Linked DNA regions of Cricetulus griseus. The protein of the gene in region 2 interacts with the protein of the main gene of each other region in a biochemical or structural test. Links are inferred from orthologs where the notes say so. Each region holds a gene or a part of one and is shown on either strand. Other genes may lie near its edges.

The links. The genes of interacting proteins can lie anywhere in the genome.
Region 1: the proteins of Fbxw7 (region 2) and Srebf1 form a complex in vitro, tested with the Homo sapiens proteins (3 studies listed by BioGRID, with this or other methods). The link is inferred for Cricetulus griseus from reciprocal best matches to the Homo sapiens genes FBXW7 and SREBF1.
Region 3: the proteins of Fbxw7 (region 2) and Klf5 form a complex in vitro, tested with the Homo sapiens proteins (2 studies listed by BioGRID, with this or other methods). The link is inferred for Cricetulus griseus from reciprocal best matches to the Homo sapiens genes FBXW7 and KLF5.
Region 4: of the proteins of Fbxw7 (region 2) and Ccne1, one has a biochemical effect on the other in vitro, tested with the Homo sapiens proteins (18 studies listed by BioGRID and IntAct, with this or other methods). The link is inferred for Cricetulus griseus from reciprocal best matches to the Homo sapiens genes FBXW7 and CCNE1.

What each region holds. Positions count from the first base shown.
Region 1 is NC_048600.1:74,353,285-74,358,329, forward strand, and holds the start of Srebf1 (sterol regulatory element-binding protein 1), read right to left. Parts: upstream 3,357-5,045; 5' UTR 3,327-3,356; coding exon 3,236-3,326; intron 1-3,235.
Region 2 is NW_023276806.1:69,439,291-69,443,542, forward strand, and holds part of Fbxw7 (F-box/WD repeat-containing protein 7), read right to left. Parts: coding exon 4,180-4,252; intron 2,765-4,179; coding exon 2,583-2,764; intron 837-2,582; coding exon 611-836; intron 1-610. UniProt on the Homo sapiens protein: Substrate recognition component of a SCF (SKP1-CUL1-F-box protein) E3 ubiquitin-protein ligase complex which mediates the ubiquitination and subsequent proteasomal degradation of target proteins.
Region 3 is NW_023276807.1:251,130,435-251,135,233, reverse strand, and holds the start of Klf5 (Krueppel-like factor 5), read right to left. Parts: upstream 3,357-4,799; 5' UTR 3,076-3,356; coding exon 2,839-3,075; intron 1,898-2,838; exon of another isoform or gene 1,747-1,897; intron 658-1,746; coding exon 1-657. UniProt on the Homo sapiens protein: Transcription factor that binds to GC box promoter elements. Activates the transcription of these genes.
Region 4 is NC_048602.1:233,978-238,958, reverse strand, and holds the start of Ccne1 (G1/S-specific cyclin-E1), read right to left. Parts: upstream 3,357-4,981; 5' UTR 3,204-3,356; intron 2,753-3,203; 5' UTR 2,726-2,752; coding exon 2,703-2,725; intron 2,596-2,702; coding exon 2,508-2,595; intron 2,263-2,507; coding exon 2,194-2,262; intron 1-2,193. UniProt on the Homo sapiens protein: Essential for the control of the cell cycle at the G1/S (start) transition.

The sequences.
Region 1 (5,045 bases), on a different chromosome or scaffold from region 2:
GTGGAACTAGGGACAGGAGACATCCCAGGGGAGGAGTATGGGTAGCAAAGCTGGTGGTGACCTACAGAATGCTTGTCACATAGTCAGTGCAACAAACCAAACCAAAGAGCAGTGACAGCTGGGTCTACAAAACAAGCAATGTGACTGTTAACACTCTCTTAGGGGGAAGGCTACAGGACCCTTAGCTGAGATTCCCTTTTTATTTTTAATAATTTACCTATTTGTATTTGATGTACATCAGCGTTTTACCTGCATGTATGTCTGTGTGAGGGTGTTGGATCCCCTGGAACAGGAGTTACAGACAGTTGTGAACTTCCATGTGGTTGCTAGGAATTGAACCTGGGTCCTCTGGAGGAGCAGCCAGCGCTTTTAACCACTGAGCCATCTCTCCAGCCCCTTCACCTGGCAGTCTACCCACTACATCCTCGTGCCACCCAGCTGCACAAAATCTTGGGAGGCCAGAGTATACAAGAGGTAGGTTACCTGAAGGGGTGGGAGTGGTGGTGGCTCCAGGTACAACTTTCTAAAGGTCGTCACTCTGCTGGAGTGAGACCTGGCAGTGACACAGCTGTCTGGGAGTCTGCAGGATCCTGTGGTTGCTCACCCACACCAACTGTGGAGGTTTGAATAGGAATGGCCCCCACAGGCTCACAGATTTGAACAGCTGATCATCAAGGCATAGAACTACTTGAGAGGGATTAGGAGGTATTACCTTGTTGAAGTAGGTGTGGCCTTCTTAGAGGTATGTTGCTAGGGGTGGGCTTTTGGGTTTCAAAAGCTCAAGCCAGGCCCAGTGTCTCTTTTCTGGCCTTCGGATCTGGATAGAGAACTTTCAGCTACTTCTCCAGCACTATGTCTGTGTATATGCCACTATGCATTCCTGCCATGATGACAATGGACTAAACCTCTGAAACCAATGAAATGCTTCCTTTGTAAGAGTTGCTGTGGTCATGCAATATAATACTAAGACACCAATAAACTCACCGGTGCATGAAGCTGGACTTGGACGGAATCCTTTCTTTAGTCTGTCACAGTGCCCTATCAGATACATAGACACCTCTCCCTAAGGAGAGTCATACAATATTAGAACATAGACAGATCCAGTGTAAGGCCAGCACAAGAAAGGGGTCAGAACTCAGGAGGGCTTCTCAGTAAGTGGCATTGGACCTAGGCATACATCTTGGGCCAACAGACAGACCAGCTATTGAGGAGCTGTCTCTCCCAGGCCTTGGGCTCCCCAGGGCTCCAAGAGTAAGTAGCCAGTCTCAGACCAGAACTATGTCCATTTGCCTCCTCTGTCCTCAGTGCACAGTGCCACCAGCCTCCCAGTAGTCCCCATACAGGCTCCTCTCCCCAGCCTCTAGTGACCTGACACCAGGAACAAGGAGGAGCTGCTTTGAGGTCACAGCCAGCAGCAGGACTTGATGCTCTGAGCTCAGCATCACCCTCAGAAAGAAAGAAGGCTGTAAGTCCCACATCACTGGACATTTGTAGGACAACAGGTGGTAGTGGGCTGTTGGGCTCCAGGCATTGGCTGGCTCTCCCTGCCACTTTCCAGTCTTATGACCAATGCTGCTCTGGGCTGAGGGAGACAGCTGCATGGCTGACTTCTTAATCCAGCCTTGGGAGCCAAGGATCCAGGCTCTTGAGCCAGCAGCCTGAGTCTGAATTCTGGCTCTGCCTTGCTATGGCTGTGTGACCTTGGACAAGTCATTTAGCCTGCTTTTCAGTCTCTCATCTGTGAGATGAAAATGTTTTCCAACTGGGATTGTCAGAAGACCCACTGAGATCCTCATCATAGTGCCTGCCACACACCAAGTGCTCAAGAAGGGTTTGCCACCCATGTTATGATGGCCTACCCCAGTGCTGAAGAGGGGCTTTCTAAACAACGTCACTCTCCTTCTCCTGTCCCTTCTCCCACTGCCCTAGCCATATCTGGAACTCAGGCCTGCCCAGATGTTTTTCAACCCTCATTCCTCTTAGGTGACCCAACCTCTACCCCCAAGTCACCCCTCTCTAGCCCCAGCGACAAGCACACGTGGGTCTCTGAGTGATTCTCCCAGAGGCTTGCCTCTGGAGCTCAATGAGGATCTAGGCACAGCACACGCTAGGTGTCTATCAACAGATCATGGGATGGGGGTAAGGGAGAGAACACTCTACAGTAATCCCAGGGCACCATTGTAGTTTATAGATAACACACATTCGTGGTTGTCTGGGGTGGAGAAGAGTGTGAAGCCCTCAAACAGGCAAGAGAGATTCAATGTTTCGAGACTGCTGACAAGCCACCAGAGGTTATTGAATGGCCCGCCTAACATGTATACATCTTATGGTATGGAAAGTTTGGGGTTTTTTTTGTTGTTTGTTTGTTTGGTTTGTTTGGTTTTTTTTTTTTTTTTTTTTTGGAGGGGGGTTCGAGACAGGGTTTCTCTGTGTAGCTTTGGAGCCTATCCTGGCACTTTCTCTGGAGACCAGGCTAGCCTCGAACTCACAGAGATCCACCTGCCTCTGCCTCCTGAGTGCTGGGATTAAAGGCGAGCGCCACCAAATGCCAGTTTGTTTTTGTTTTCTTCCCCCACACCCACCCCAGCTGGTGGTGGTGGTTGAAGATGGAGATGAATCAAGCTGGGCAAGTTCAAGCGATGTTTTAAAAGATCTAAGTGGCCCAGGGTGTGGCTCAGGGCAGAAAGCCTGTTAATATGTTCTAGATCCTGGGTTACTGCCCCAGAATAGCAAAATTTGAAAAATATTTCGGAGAGCAGAAGCTGTGTTCCTTGTCTCACGCCCCCCACTCCCAACTCCTCAAACTTAGGTAGCGCCCCAGTGGCCTTTGCCTCTTACCTTGTCCTCCGCTAGAAAGTATCTTTGCTTGCTGATGCCGGGGCACCCCCCAGCACTAACACACCTAAGAGACCTCCCTGATCTCGATCCAAAGTAGCCAGATACTTGCATGCCCAGGTGCATGTAAAAATCCGTTTGTGGGCTTGCTTGGGGATTTTGGTGCATCCAAGAAACGAGAAAACCCAGGTCGGCCCGTGAACTGTCCACAGGGCCCAACCTGGAATTCAGCGGATGCTCAGCGAGTCCAGAAACCAAGCCCACCACAAGCTGGAGAGCTAACCCTCAATCCGAGGCGCACAACTGCGCAGTACGCACGCACGCGCAGAAGCTCCCGGCCAAGTGACCTCCCAGGACATGCGACCCCGCACAGGCCGCGCAGGAGCCCCGGGCCACGCACCTTGGATGTCGGTCAGCAGTGCGGCGTCCAGTTCGCCCAGCTCGTCCAGCGCCTGTTCCACAGCCGCCTCACCGAAAGGCAGCTCGTCCATGGCGGCGGCGCCCGCCAGGCTTCGCAGGAGGCCCGCCTTACCGAAAAGTTCCTCGGAAACTAGGTTCCGCAGGCGGAGCCACCCAAGCGGAGGGGCGGGGCTGCCCGCCAGGCCCTGCCCACCAACCGGCATCTGCAGGCTCCAGACAGCTCACCTAGACGGTTCAGAAAGCCGACTGGAGCCCGGTTTCCCGTAGCCTGTCTTAATCCATTATCAATCCCGCTGTTGGGGCAGAGAGGGCCAGTGGGCCTGAACAGCTCCTAAAGGAAGATTCTGGTCTCCTGGAAGACCTAGAAAAAGTGTGGATCCCAAGGTCAAGCAGCGACTCTGTAAAAGGAGCCCAGGGGAACTGAGCTCAGCTGCCTAGATCATGACCTAGACCCAGGCCAGGCCAGCAGCCTGAGTACTGAAAAGTGAACCCTGGGCCCTGTGACTTAGGGACAGGTAAAGCCGGTGGAAGGGGATAGGTTCCTCTAGGGTGGACTGAAGTAAACCTTTCTGGTCCACACTATTTGCAAGTGAGGAGACAGCAGCAACACGTAAGAATTAACCGGGTAGCCCGCCCCCGCCCCAGGGTCAGGACCCCAGGCCAGCTGGAACTGCCATGCTGAGACTCCAGGTACAGACTGGGCGACTGCTCTCACCTCCCAACCAGCAGAATTAGTTGTCTTTGGGCAAGGATGGAGTGTGTGTCTGGTTTCCACCTGAACACATTTTTGTCCCTCTCCCAGTGTGGCTGCTTAGAAAATTACTCAGAGTAAGGTGCTCAGGAGTGCTGGAACTATAAACCACCTCTCCCCGACATGGAGCCCTTGCTTTGGGGCCACTCTGCCTTGTCCCTCCCACCACCATCAGAAGACCCAGGAATTTGATGTTTCCTGAAAACTCAAACAGTCCTTCGCAGTCAGAAGGGTGAGGGTCTTCAGCGGTCAGTTGAGTTAATGCCTCACCTGCTTGTGTGTAGCCAGGGTCACTAATTGTCCAGAGTCTCTGCGGGAAAGGGCTCGGGGTTTGGAATCATCACAACATCACACCTTCTGAGAACTGAGTAAAATGTATACATAGCTCCACACACACACACATTCCGTTGCTGCAAGACTGGGGGAGCCGAAGGTAAAGTCAAAGAAAGACCTGTACCCACGACTAGAAAGCTCCCTTCGGAGCAAAGCCCAACACAAACCTCTGCTCCACAGGGTGGGCTTACAAGGGCAGCAGCCAAGGGGAAGCTTTCCTGGTAAAGGCTTGGAGAACTTCAGAGGAAGTTGGTGGTCTCTGTCTCAAACACCCGAGACCTCCCACCAAAGATCTCAGAACCCCTTGCTGGGGTCTTTGGTGCTTAGAACACAAGCGTGGTGTGGTGATCCTGGGCGGGGTGGGGTCTCAGCCTGGCCAACAAGGACCTGGGTCAGCTGGTTCAGCACCCTGCAGTCATGGGACATGCTTGTGACAAGCCGAAAACTTTTGTTATCTCGTTCAATCCTCCCAACAGACTAAGGAAAACGTCTGTTCCCATCCATTCCACAGATGAGGCAACTGAGGCAGGAGGAGAAGGGACTTGCCTAGGACTCCCCAGCGCTGCCTGAGGTTGTCCTGTACTGGGGACTGTTGCAGAGCAGGGTAGGCAGTGGGAGACCCCCCCCTCCCCGACTCTCGGTGCCAGAGGACTTGCCCTGTTCGCTGCCAATTGGGGCGGGGCCCCGAGTGGGGTGACGCGGCGTC
Region 2 (4,252 bases):
AACAGGAAGTTTTTAAAAATGGAAAATGCTGCATTTCCAGAAATAATTTCAACCCACGCTTTATGTCTAGTTACTGAAGCTTTTGAAATATTATAATCTATTAATAAACATCATGTTCAAATATAAGGAAATATAACAGGTTAGTCAGATTCACCTTTTTATGGCCCCAGTCAATGGCCCTGGGCAACTATGTAGCTTTCTGCAGAGAGTCTCCACGGCTACTTTAAATGGGGATAGAATCACAATTACACGGCCCATCAACTTTTAGTTATCAAGGCAAAGGGGCAGCTTTTGGCCAAATTAATCCTCAGCTAAGGAGTTTATTAAGATCCAAGTTATTCTCCTATGAGATTATCTATTAATTAATGTGGCAAAATTTACAGCCCTGAAGTATCAGGTTTTAAGACAAATATTTGCATTTTAAAGAGAAAATGGATCATAGAAATCGAAGCCATTAAATCAGCTAAATGATTTTGAAATTTATTGTTTTCTTCATGGTAATTTTAAGGTATATATAAACAGCAACTTGACGGTAACTAGCTGAAAAGAAAAATCTTATGAGTCATCACCAGAGCATCTAGGGGTGTGGATGGGTGAGACAGCTTCTTACCTGTAATGAATAGACTCTATTAGTGTGTCCCTGCAACGTGTGTAGACAGGTCTCAGTCTCTGGGTCCCACACCTTCACCATAAAATCATATGCTCCACTAACAACCCTCCTGCCATCATATTGTACACAGCGGACCGCTGCTACATGACCCATCAAGACATGTAAACACTGGCCAGTCTCAATATCCCAAACCCTAAGAGTGGCATCTCGAGAACCGCTAACAACTCTGCAGAGAGGAAACAGAAAACAAGGTATTAGAATTCTGAAGAGCACAAATGCACATAGCCTGCAAAACAGTGTTCGCTTTCTCTTCATAAACAGAACAGAAACACTTTAACAAGAATCACTACCCTAATGCCTTCAGATATAAATTCAAGTTACTCTGCCTGGAATGGGAAGTGAGGAAGACTAGAAGTCCATGACTTAAGGAAACAACCTCACCCTATTCAAGAAGCAAGCAGCTCTCCATACATACAATTTATCTTGATTAGAAGTGAAATGGTAGCATGGTACACGCAGCTCAACCCTCAATGCAGAATTAGGTGGTATTAAACTTAGAACAATCCAGAACTGTTTTTAATATCTTTGTCCTTCCATTACATTTCAATTATGAACTCCTATTACCTATTTGAGAAAGTAAACTTTTCAATATGATTATTTTTCAAAAAAAAAATTTTACATTTAATTTGGGTCTCAGAAAACTAGGGCTGTTTTCTTATACTTCCCATGCAGGGAATGCGGTTTCAGATATGTGCTGATACAGATTTTTAAAGATATTCCTATAGAAGTAACAGAAATTGGCTCAATGTTATAAAATTATACTGTTCTAAAAAGAGGAGTGATACAACCATGCAGTTACCTCTGGATTGCTAACCAGGTACCTTTATGTCACATTCCCAAGAGATAAAAGTCAGTCTCTGTATTTGGAAGAGTGGAATGATTAAGTGTGGGAAAATGAATGCAACCAACATGGAAATGCAAGGTCTCTTGAAACTCATCCCTTAAATTTTAATCACACAACACACTGTGCAAAGTGGTTCAAATTGAAAGTAAAAAGGAGTCCCTGTATATATATCACACCTGCAGGGTACAGCCTACTTACCAAAACAGTTCTTAATAGATAAAGCAGCATGGACAGAGTTACAGGTCATGGCTGCTCTGCTGTGAACTCGTTATAATGATTCTTCTAAGATACATTCTTTTAGAGGAAGGGTCTCCTCTAAAAAGCTGTGACTTCAAGGATTCTCCTGTCTCTATCTTTCCAGTGCAAAGATTAGCAGCATGTTCTCATATCAGGCCAAAAGAATATTTTTTGACAAATGAAGTAGAAAACACAATTTTTTAGCTAGGTGCAATGAAGATGTGTCAACAGAAGGACATGATTGTAGCAGAAGACACTGCAGGTAAGATACAAAGCACCAGGCAGAGGCACCAGGAAAGAATGGACTAGCAGGCCAGACGTGGCTGAAACAATCCTAATACCAGAGCTCTCTGCCAGCTGTGCAAAAGTCAGGACCTGAGATCTCTGCATAGTTCAGATGACAGGTAATGAGAAAATAAGTGAAAGCCCTGGACCTCAGTGTTTGTTCAGATCTAGGGACATGATGGAGTGGGGGCAAAGTGGGTGGGTCACTCAAGGATTCAGGCTAATGTCGAAGTGACTGAATTTGTTGCTCCTACATATGACTGTCAAGAAAGAAAATGATTTTTTTGAAGATGATGAGTCACCAAACGAACAACAAAGGGGATTAGAGAGCTGAGCGTCAAGAAAAATGATTGTACAGTCATTGAATGAAAAAGAAAATTTTAAGACAATCCTCCAATTTTAAGCCAATATAACCTGATTTTACTAACTAAGGAATATTGCACTGTAATCATTAGTATCAACTTTTGGAGCTCATTAGCACTATTTGAATCTCAAATTCACAAGTAACAGACGTGAAAGTCCCCATCATAATGGGATTTCCTTTACCTTTTTTCATGGAGATGCATACAGCGTACAGTGGAAGTGTGCCCATATAAAGTATGTATACACTCTCCAGTCTCAGCATTCCATACTTTGAGAGTCCGGTCAGTGGATCCACTAATGATGATATTGTCTCTCATCTGTGATGACCATACTCCACCTGTGTGTCCCACTAATGTTCTTAGACACTGAAAAAACACTTCAGATGATTAATTTTAGGTAGAAATGAAAGCAAGTCAAAAAATATACTAACATCTCATTAGAATCTGGAATAAAGTCTTACATATTCAACTTTATTAGATCACCAGGAAAGCATCTACACATCGATGCTACATGACACCATTATTACCGAATTGTTTATTTTGTAGCAGTATATGCTTATGCATGCATAGCAAACATGATATGAAACAGACAGGACTGGAGAGATGATGGTTCAGTGGCTAAGAGCGCCAGCTGCTCTTTCAGGGACCTGGGGTTTGAGTCCCAGCACCTAGTGCCTTACAACCACCTATAACTCCAATGCCAGGGAATCTGATGCCCTCTTCTGGTCTCTGAGGGCACCTGGCATGTATGTGGTACACACACACAAACACAAAATAATAAAATGAAGTAAAGAAATTTAAGAAGAATCATTTGATACAAAGCATAAGACATGGCAGAAAGCAAACATAATGTAATACAAGCAAGTTCAACAGCTCTAGCCTGACCACTATGATTAAATAATATTAAAACTGCAAAAGGGTGCCTCCCATGGAGGAGAACCAAGGCAAGAATGCCAAGAGAGTTGGGTGTGGCCACATACCACAGTGCATCCGTCTGCCTTAAGGCAGTAGTTAGGGGCTGGCCATGCTACTCTAGACATGTAAAGACAGACACTGAGACTCTGAGATAAGTCCAAAACTAGTATTATATCCTGGAAACGTGTAGCTGCTCTGAAAATTTTAACATCTGCTTTGGGTATTTATAAGAGTCTTGTCCAAGGAACAACACAGCGAAAGACATTTTTTTTTAAAACATACTGTCTTCTTTTACCTTTTAAATGATTGATTACTTAATTCATAAAAAAAATTCTCCTTTGGACAGATAAAGTCAATATTCACTAGCGACTCATTAAGGAATGCTATGTGAAATAAAGCTACTGCTTGGCTCTTCAACCCAGTATTTAAAACCTCCCCTGCTTCATTTCCTTACCATTCAAGTCTGAGACAACTTTAGATTAACAGGATTTACTTGATTTCTAAATTATAGATAGCTCAGCAACAAAGCAGTCTACAAGGAAAATTACAAATCACTCAGTCATATTTTGGAAGACGTTAGGGAGCCATGATGGGAAAGGTGAGACGGAAGCTCAGAGAAGAGGGGCATCTGAGAAATCTTAGAATATCTAAGGAAAAAGACAACAAACTATTTAAATGAAGAAAACACCACTGCCACCATGCCAAAGTGACATAACCACAGGAAGAAGGACCACATTTCTAAAGACATTTTGTTATTTGTTATCAAATATTTGTTATCAAAACAGCTGAGGATCCAACACCCCACTTTACTGTGACTGCACACACAAAATGGTGACTCATAGAAGTATGGAAAGAAGTGAACTTACTTTGCCCGTGACTGCTGACCAAACTTTTAAAGTGTTGTCATCAGAACCACTAACTATGCGGTTACCACAAAAC
Region 3 (4,799 bases), on a different chromosome or scaffold from region 2:
GCTCGGTGGCGATGGGGGAAAGTAAGTGGCCTGCTGTGGAAGAAACTGACTTGGCATGGTGTATGTGCAAGGGGGCATGCCCTGGAACTGTTTCATTGCAGTCTGCGGAACAGCAGAGGTGTGTGTGTTAAGGCCCGCCATGGCGGCAGACATGGATATGTTAAGGGTGTCCATTATTGCTGTCTGGTTTGTAGAACTAGGCATGTCTAGATCCGGTGTATTCAATAGCTGGTACAGGTGGCCCTGCTGGGAAGGGACAGAGAGATGAAGATCTGGCGTAGGAAGTTCTTGTTTGATGAAGATATTGTTCACCTCTGGAGCTGTGTTCTGATGGGAGCTGAATATACTGTTGAACTCAGGGAGGGCCTGGGTAGGGGCTGGAGGAGGGGCGGTCGTCTCGCTCTGGTGGCTGAAAATGGCAACAGGCTCTGTCTTGATCTGTGTAACGCATGGTCTCTGGGATTTGTAGAGGCCAGTTCTCAGGTGGGTGATGTCGGGGAGGAAGACGTTCATGTTGATACTGTAAGGTAAGCCTTCACTGTCAGTGAAGAACTGGTCTACCACTGAGGCACTGTCTCGTCTATACTTCTTATGCTCTGAAACAATTGGAACTGGAGGAAGCTGAGGTGTCAGATACTTCTCCATTTCACATCTTGTCTAAAAAAGAAGAGATACAAATACACAATGAGTCTACCAATTCACTCAGGTAGGATAAACAAACAGGACTAACTAAAAACTCACAACACTAGTATGGGTACGGGGGCCAGCTCCTAGAGCTGCTTATAAACACAGAGTTTTATTTTGTCAATTGTGTAATTATTGGTTAACCAAAAGTCTGTATGGCATGTCTTTAGTAAAATCACTCCCCAAATCATCGGCAGACAAAAGTGAAAGAGGCAAGGGGGTGGGGGCAAGGACAAAACATCTTCCTTTCCAACGCAATCAAGTCTCACCCCAAGAAAGATAATTCTGCAATCTAAGTACAGTATCAGAGTATGACCCAAACTGCCCCACTTCTGTTCATACCCATTACATTTAACATGTTTCATTTGAAAACTAAAACCTTTGCAAACCTTAAAAAAATAATATTTATGTGGGTAGAGTTAGGTATCTCAGGCCTAACATGAAATGTTCTCTGGCCATTTCAGTGCCTTTTGATTAACAAAAAAAAAAAAAAAAAAAAATCCAATGTTTGAAGCAAACCCTTGTATCCGCTAAAACAAAACAATTACAGGTTCAACGCTTGATGTAAATGTTGATTTTAACCAGCAGATTCGGTAATTGGTTAATGTAATAATGAAATGTTCCTATTCATTTCCCTATCTAAAACAGATCTTTAATTATCAAGGAGAAAATCATTCCCTTGGTAGACTGGTGCTAGGACGCCCGTGGGTGGGGAGAGGCTGCTCGATTGCCAGCACACTCATCAGCAAAACATTTATCATGTCCTCTCCGTGGGCCAATGCTACATTCCCCCTTCCTCTGTAAAAAGCGCAGTCATCCCTCACCCTACTGCTATCTCCCGAGAGAAAACTGCCAAAGTGAAACAACCAAGTATCCCCCAGGCCCTGATTGTTTAAGAAATAGACAATGCAGCTTCCGACCTGCCTGTCTTCCCAGCAATTCTCTCCCAACATATAAAAGCTTAATTTTTCCTCTCAATTCCTCTTGACATTGAAGAGCAGCTCAGAAAAAGGACAAAACCCAACTAAATGAAATAGTTCACAGAATAAGAAACCACTGCACCTCAGTTGGTAAACAGGAGTCCTATTTTTGCTCCTAAATTTCAAAAGAATTTCATCTCGGACCTCAGATCATTAAGATCTGGTTGTGGACGACGACGGACGGGATTTCCCGGATATGCACGACTTAAAAATAAAGATTCATGCTCTGGCCATGTGAGTCACATCTGACAAATGCCACTGTCCTCTCAAAGCACGACGACACTGGCAGACCCCGCGAAGTAGGTGCTGGGTGCAAATACACAATACGGCAAGAGGCTATTAAACCAAGCCTCTTGAAATAAACCAAACTAAACCCTTTCGTGCACTGCGCTCCCGCGGCGGTTAGTGGTTTCTGATTTTAGCTCTTCCAGCTGTTTGCATGTGGGTCTGTTTCCAATTTTTTTTTTCTTTGGGAGTAGCTAAAAGTCCCGGGAAGTTTTTTTTTTTTTTTTCTTGGGCTATATGACTCCCGTGCGTGGGCGAAAGAAACAGGCGCTTGCTCTAATTCGGCTGCTGGGCAAGTGTAAAAGCCAACTGCCAGCTTTCAACGCGACTCCGGGAGGAAATTTACGCGCACATGAAGAAAACAACACCCGTGGCCTTTTTGTACGCGTGTTCCTTTTTTAGGAAAAAAGCAGTGTTCTAATACAACCTTAGATCTTCTGACCCTAGTTTCCCAAACGGGGCCTTACAGCCCATTCTAGGGTGAGCTACAGGGGTATGGAACCCCAGGACTCCATCTGCAATTTCCACATCCCCGAAGGACGCAGGCAGGTGGACTTCCTAGGCCAGGACCATCCGGAGAGAGTGGTCAAGGTGACGCAATTTAAGTTGAGCGTGGATATAAGCTTTCATTCCCACGCAAGAAAACAGACAAGGTGCGCGTGAGCGCGCGGCTGTGTTCAGCCTCCTCTGGGCAGATCGGGGTGGGCGATGCCCCGGGCCCTCCGCTCCCCCATCCACTCCCCGGCGCCCCGTCTGGAAGCGCAGGGCGGGGCTGCCCACCCGGGCACCGGCTCCCGCGCGTCCCAGCCTGGAGCGGCCCCTGTCGCCCGCGCCTCGCAGTGGCGGGACACGCCCGAGCCGGGGGAGGGAGGCCGGCCGCTCTGCTTACCTGGACCAGCTCCTCCGAGGGCAGCCGCGGGCCGGCGGCCGGCGGCGGCGCGGGCTGCGCAGGCGGGTGGTGGTGCGCGTGTTTGAGATCGTCGCCGGGGAAGAGCGCCGCGTCGCGGGCCGGGTTCGCAGCGCCCAGCACCGGCTTGAGCTGCGCGAACACCGGCTCGTCCTGTGTGGCCGGTGGCTGGGACACGGGTCCCAGGCGGGCGCCCATGGTCAGCACCCGCGTGGCCATGGGCGGTCGGGGGGTCTACGGGCGTGGATCACCGGGTGATCGCGATTCCCACCTCGCCCGGGCTGGCGCCGGACTGCGGACTCGGCGCGGGGCGGCTGCGGGGGGGACCCCTAGGCCGGCGGCCAGCGGCTCACGAAGGCGGGCACGTAGATCGGGACTCCTGGGCTCGGCCACGCGTCACCGCCGAGGTCCTCCAGCCGCCACTTTCTCCCGCCCCGCCCCAGCGCTCGCCGGAACCCTCTCCCGCCACCTCCGAGCTCCACCAAGCAAGCTGCAAGCGCGCGTACCTGCCCCGCGACTACTGACACTTGACGCCCGCCTCTATTTCACCCAACTCCAGGGAGGCAGGACCAGCTCACCCGACTGGCAGCGTCGTGGCCAATAGCAAGGCCCCAGGGCCAGCGGCTAGCCAATGGAAAGGAAGTCCCACGAGGTCCCGCCTCCGACGGGCCGACCGCACCCCTCGCGGGCCATGAGCTTCGCGCGCAGAGCAGGGGCGCAGTTTGTACACAACTTCTCTGACAGATTGGGCCCGCGGAGCTCAGGGCGGAGGGAAAGAGACAGCGGGTGGAATCTAGGAAGAGGGGGATCAGGGTGGAGACGCGAAGGGAGATCTCTCCGAACTGTTCTCTGCCAGGATTAGAGTGGAAAAAAAAAAAGTATCGCACGTCTTAGGTGTTGTGCAAGGACCTGAAAGTCGAAAGCTGAAGACAGAAGGTGGGGGAGCTGAGGTTCCCAGTCTTGTCCAATGAGTGTGTATTTTTAAGTATACAAAATGTACTTTGGAGGAAAACAAGGGGCGGTTCGGTAACAAATGTAAAAGCAGCTCTCATTTCTGTGTTTTCAGCAGTGATCTATCTATCCCTTAGCAGATCCCTTATGGCCTGGCTAAAAGCGTAATGTCAAGCATTTTTTCAAGTCCTTGCATACCAACCTAGGCATATTTCCCCCTACGGTATTTAAGTAGCTACAAGTTTTCACAGATATTTCTACCTTCCGTCGCTGTACGTGAGGAAGAGGTGGGGTTGGCCTTATGAATTATGAAGTTTTTAATATTTAAACCATGTTGATTCTAGCCGGAGCATGGAATCTAATTTAAGAACCAACAGCCAGCTCAACTGGGTATTTAAATACACATTACATCTCTGGCTTATTTTTGCTACCACTGTAGTCTCGGGGCGGGGGGGATGGAGTTTAATATTTTCAGATGAGACACATAGCCCATCTACCTAATACGGTGGCACCATTTCCTACGAAACGGGAACTAAAGCCACAAACATTTACAGATACTCAACAGCTCTGAAAACTGCCAATCCAAATCGGTAGGAACCTAACAGTCAAGTATATTACTACCCATTTACTAGGTTGTTTTAACGGAGGGTGGGTGTTTTTTAATTTTAAAATTTTGCCAGCAATCTCCGAAGGAAACAACGTTCCTTAATCCTTAGTGTTCTTGTACATGACTTTCATGTGGCTTATTGTGAAGCCAGAATAATAAGCTGGGACAAAAATATCTGTAATATTTCAACCTATGTACATATGTTGACAGCACATATTACCTACAGAGAGCACACTGGCCATTTCACAGTGAAGCATCGATTAAAAAGTTCTTAAGGAAAAAAGCACCGCCAAGAGTATCACAGGTAGGAGTCTCCTTTCCAATATACAGGTAAATGAACGTGCACAGAAAGTATCACGTGCATTTTTTTTAAAGCAAAGATAAA
Region 4 (4,981 bases), on a different chromosome or scaffold from region 2:
TTTGAGATCACTGCAACTATGGCTCACTACATTTTATCCTTATACTGGGTTTTTTCCCTCATGCCAAACAAGTGGAAAAGTAATTCTGACTAGTATTCAGCTTCAAAGAAAGCTATGTCTTGCCAGGCAGTGGTAATGTACACCTTAATCCCAGAACTCAGGAGGCAAAGGCAGGTGGATCTCCATGGGTCCGAGGCCAGTCTCATCTACAGAGTGACTTCTAGGACATCTAAGGCTACAAAGAGAAACCCTGTCTCAATAAAACCAAGGGAAGTAATAGATTTTTATTACAACAGGGCATTCTTCTCATTTAGAATAACTCAGGTGGTAGGGTACACGCTTCTAATCCTAGCACTCTGGAGGCTGGAGGCAGGGATTCACTAAGTTTGAGGTCAGCCTGGTTCACATACAGGGACTCTGTTTCAAAAGCAAAAATAACAGCTGAAGAATCAAAGATCTTGCCAGGTGGTCGGGTGGTGGTGACGCACGCCTTTAATCCCAGCACTCGGGAGGCAGAGGCAGGTGGATCTCTGTGAGTTTGAGACCAGCCTGGTCTACAAGAGCTAGTTCCAGGACAGCCTCCAAAGCCACAGAGAAACCCTGTCTCAAAAAAACAGAACAATAAAAAAACAAAAACAAAGATCTTTGTTGATGTTCAGCATCACTGAACTTAATATGACTGCTCTCACTGGCTCAAAGTTGTTGCACTGGGGTTCACAACTCCACAGAAAAATTCTGTGCTGTTCAGACAAACACAAAACGCCACAAAGTTCATGAGTCTTCACTGAAAAGGAAAATACAGTACATGAGCAGTTTGTAAGCTCATCTTGGACAACCTTGAAAATGGCCTTCTCATAGGAACTGATGTGACAGTTACAATTGGATTCTTGCTGCTGCCCCATTTGTGGGTCTCCACAGCCCAGACAAGGAACCAGTCCTTTCTTGGACACTCTGAACACTGCTATGGTTATCCTGAGAGCAGAAGTGAGCCTGAATCTCCACAAAGCCATCATGGATGGCTTGCTTCATTTTCACTTGGAAATTTCTATTGAAAACAGGGCTGGCAATGCAAACAATTGAATCCTCCAAAGCATGGTTACCTTATAATAAATTCCTTTCTTTGGGGGATTTTTTTCTAACAGGACGAGAAACTGACTTTTTAAAGGGGTCCTCTCTAGAAATACACATTACTGTAGTTCTGGGTGCCAGGACATCATTGCCCAGAAAGCATTATTCAGAACTGGCTGCCTCTCGCTGCTCTACAAGTCACTGCTAACCTCTTTGGGACAAGAGATGAGGTCAACAGAATACTGTTCTTGCTCACTTTATCTGTGATGAAGGCTGAAGGTCTCACCAGCCCCTTCGAGATAGGCTGTTTCCCCCGCTGGAGCCATAACTATAGTCTCCAGCCATTTCTGGAGGCAAAGAGATAATACAAACTCTCTCTGCAAGGATCTGCTGATATTATGATACCAGGCTGCATTCGAAAGATCTGGCAGGCACTACGCAGGGAGGGACAGAAATGGAGCAGCCAGTGAAATACTGGTTGAAACATACGTCACTTCAGACCCCTGCTGAGACCAGGCAAAGCCCAAACAGCAGAGATCAAAGTGGTTAAGTGATGGTGGCCACAAAGAGAAAAGTCTTCATTTTTGTTTTTCCAATAGAATCTCACTATATATGGTCTGGGCTATCCTGGAGCTCAGATCTCCCACCTTTGCTTCCCTATTGCTGGAATTAAAGGATCGTACCATCATTCTTAGCAAGAGGATAAAAGTTTGAAATTTGACCTAAAGGGATGGAAGAAGTCCATATTTGACACAATAAAACCACACATGAGGATGAGGGAGTAGTTGGGAATCCTATCCTCCAAGTCACTGGCCTTTGGCACCAAGGCTATAGGCCCAGCTTTGCTATGGGCTTGCAAAGGGCTCTCTCTGGGTTGCCTTCTGAGTCTCTTTCCTCCCGGGCTTACAGAGGACCAAATTATATGATGCTCCCTCTGGTTCCTTCAGGCTTCAGTACCTGTAAGCTCAGAGGTGCTACTTAAGAAACACAAACCCTTCCCACAACCCCAGGCCCAAGAGAAGCCAGGCCACACTGACAGGCTCCCGTGGTTCGGCCATGTGGCCTGCGGCTCTGGTTTGGGAAACTTGGAAGAAAGAAAGCATGGAACTCAAGAGAAAGACCTACCTGACTGCTATCCTGGCTTTTCACAGTCTTGTCAACTCTGGCGATTTCTTCATCTGGATCTTGCAAAAACTAACAAAAACAACAACAACAACAAAATCCCAATCCACCAAGGGAACAAACACATGGAGCAACCCAGAGACGGAGAGAAAGGGGGGATAGAAAGTTTGTTAGGCTGAGTTACATTAAACTAAATGAAACCTCCCCACCGACCAACTCTCTTCGCTGGTGGGTGGGAAGACCCAAATCGGGTACCCAGGTAACCGGGGGGCGGCGGTGGGGGGGGGTCCTTCCCAACCTGTGTCCTTTGTACTCACAACGGCCACATTCGCCTTCCTTTTCCTGGAGCGCACCGAGGAGTCAGGGCCACCTTCTTCCCTGATGCCGCCGTGGTCCTGGGCATCTCTGCAGAGGCTGGGTGTCAGGGAGATGCTGCCCCCCCACCCCCGCCCCCGCCGCCCCTCCCCCACCACCCCTCCCTCCTCCCCCCCTGCAGCAGCGAGGCCGCTCACCTCTCCTTCCTCTCCCGTGGCATGGCGCGGGCAGGGCTCCGATCTCAGACCTGGGGGTTACACCAAGCGGGCACCTCGGTGAGCGCGACCCCTCCCCTCCCCTCCCCTCCCTCCCGCGCGGGCAGCGGCGGCGGCGGCCGGAGCCTCCGGAGCCTCCGGGGCCCGGGCCGGGAAGATGGCGATCGGCCGGGCGGCTTGTCACCCGCGGGCGCCCCTGGCAGCCTGCGACCCCGGGTTCGAACCCGAGGCCGGGGGTGGAGGCCCGGGACGCCCTCCGAGGGGACCCCCGACCCATCCACCATCGCGCCGGAGCCGGGGCTGCCGGGGTCCCCGTGCACAGCTCCCCGTGACCCGTCCGTCTCAGAGCCACCGGGCAGGGGCGACGCGAGCGGAGACCCCCGGGGGACCGGGCCACCCGGCCCTACCCCACCCCCACCCGCTCGCCCGGGCCCGGCCCGGTGCTGTGCGGTCCCGTCCGGTCCGGACGCGCGGGAGTCGTACCCGAGGCTGTGTCCTGCTTGCGGAGGGCGAGCGGGCGGGCGGGCGAGCGAGCGAGCGCACGGGAGGCGGGAGGCCGGCGGGCGGGCGGGAAGCAGGAGGCGGGAGGCGGGAGGCGGCGGCCGGGCGCCGGGCGCTGGCGGGATCCGCGCCTGCCCCCTACACCGCGCTGGCTGCCGAGCCGGCTGCTCCTGCGCCCGGCTTCGAGCGGGACATTTAAAATCCCAGCAGCGCGCGCACCGGCCCGGGCCCGCCCTCCGGCCCCCGCCCCGCCCTCGGCCCCGCCCCTCCCCGCGCAGGCCCCGCCCCCGGCCCGCCAGCCCTCAGCGGCCGCCGCAGCCCCCGGCCCCGCCCCTTCGTCGCGCGGGCCGGCCAGGAGCTTCCCGAGGGGCGGGGCCTGCGGGCCGGAGGTGGGCGGGGTCTCGGGCAAAGGGGCGGGAGTAAGTCACAGGGCCTGCGCGCCGGAGGGGCGGGGCGCGACGCGGTGGGCGGGGCCTGCGCGGGGCGGGGCCGGCGGACGCGGGAGATTCTTGGCGCGAGCGCTCGGGGCGTCCGGGGCCCGCGGGGAGCCGCGTGGGCCGCGCGGGCGGGGTGCGGGCCCGGCCGAGCGCAGCCATCGGGCCGCAGCCGTCCCCTGCCGGGCTCCGGGGGGGCGCGCCCGGGCCGCCGGGGTGAAGATCCCGCGTCCGCCGTCCTCCCGCGCGCCCGTGCGTCCTCCCCGCCCCCGAGACGCAGAGTTCCGGGCCAGAGTCCCCGACCCGGTGTCCCCAAGGTCACCGCGGCGCGTGGCGTGAGGTCCCCAGTGCCAGCGAGCCCTTGGATTCATCGGTGCCTCCCGGTCCTCCCGTCCGTCCATTCATTGGTTCGCTCATTCATTCATTTATACATTCATTCATTCATTCATTCATTCAGCTACCCACGCCCCTCCTGCTCTCCGGCACACATCGCCCCGCCCGCAGGCCATCAGGCCTCTCGGGGGGTCCACGGGAGGTGAGGATGTCCCCAAGGGTTTCCGTGCATCTCCGAATGAATGAGCTCAGCCTCTCACACCCGCCTCCCGCCGGATCCGCTGCCCTTTCTCACCCCTGCCCGACCCATTCCGGCTAAACCGCTTCCGGAGCACGCGAAGGTCTGCGGTGACCTCTTCCCAGGACCCCAGAAGGACACTTGCCTCGTGTTAGGGGGAGCATGATACAAGGAACCACGCTGACCCCCCCCCCCCAGGACAGTGACCGAGCGGGACACACCGCACGGTGCCCGGTGGCAAGGACAGGCCGTCCTGACTCCACTTGCAGCGTATGCAATAAACCCGGGGCCCTTCCTCGGGGTCAGCCTGTCTCCTGTCCCTCAGCGACTGCCAGCTATCGCTCAAAGCTGGGCGCGCCCTTCCCGCGGGTCCCGACCAGCGCGCTGGTGATGCCCCTGGCTGCTGAGATGACATGGTTACCTGCTGGTAACAACAGCACATGGTAACTTAACAGGATGCAACTTTCCGCCAAGTCCTTTAAAGTTAAAGCCCATCCCCATGAATTTAACAGTATTTCTTTCATGCGATTCCACGGTGACCCTAGTTGACAAGCCACAGGTATCAGCCAGGCGGTGGTGGCGCACACCTTTAATCCCAGCACTACGGAGGCAGAGCCAGGCGGATCTCTGTGAGTTTGAGACCAGCCTGGTCTACAGAGCGAGTGCCAGGACAACCTCCAAAGCCACAGAGAAACCTTGTCTCGAAAACCCCCACAGCTATCTAACCGTTTACATTCGCTGTGCTAAGGGAGACA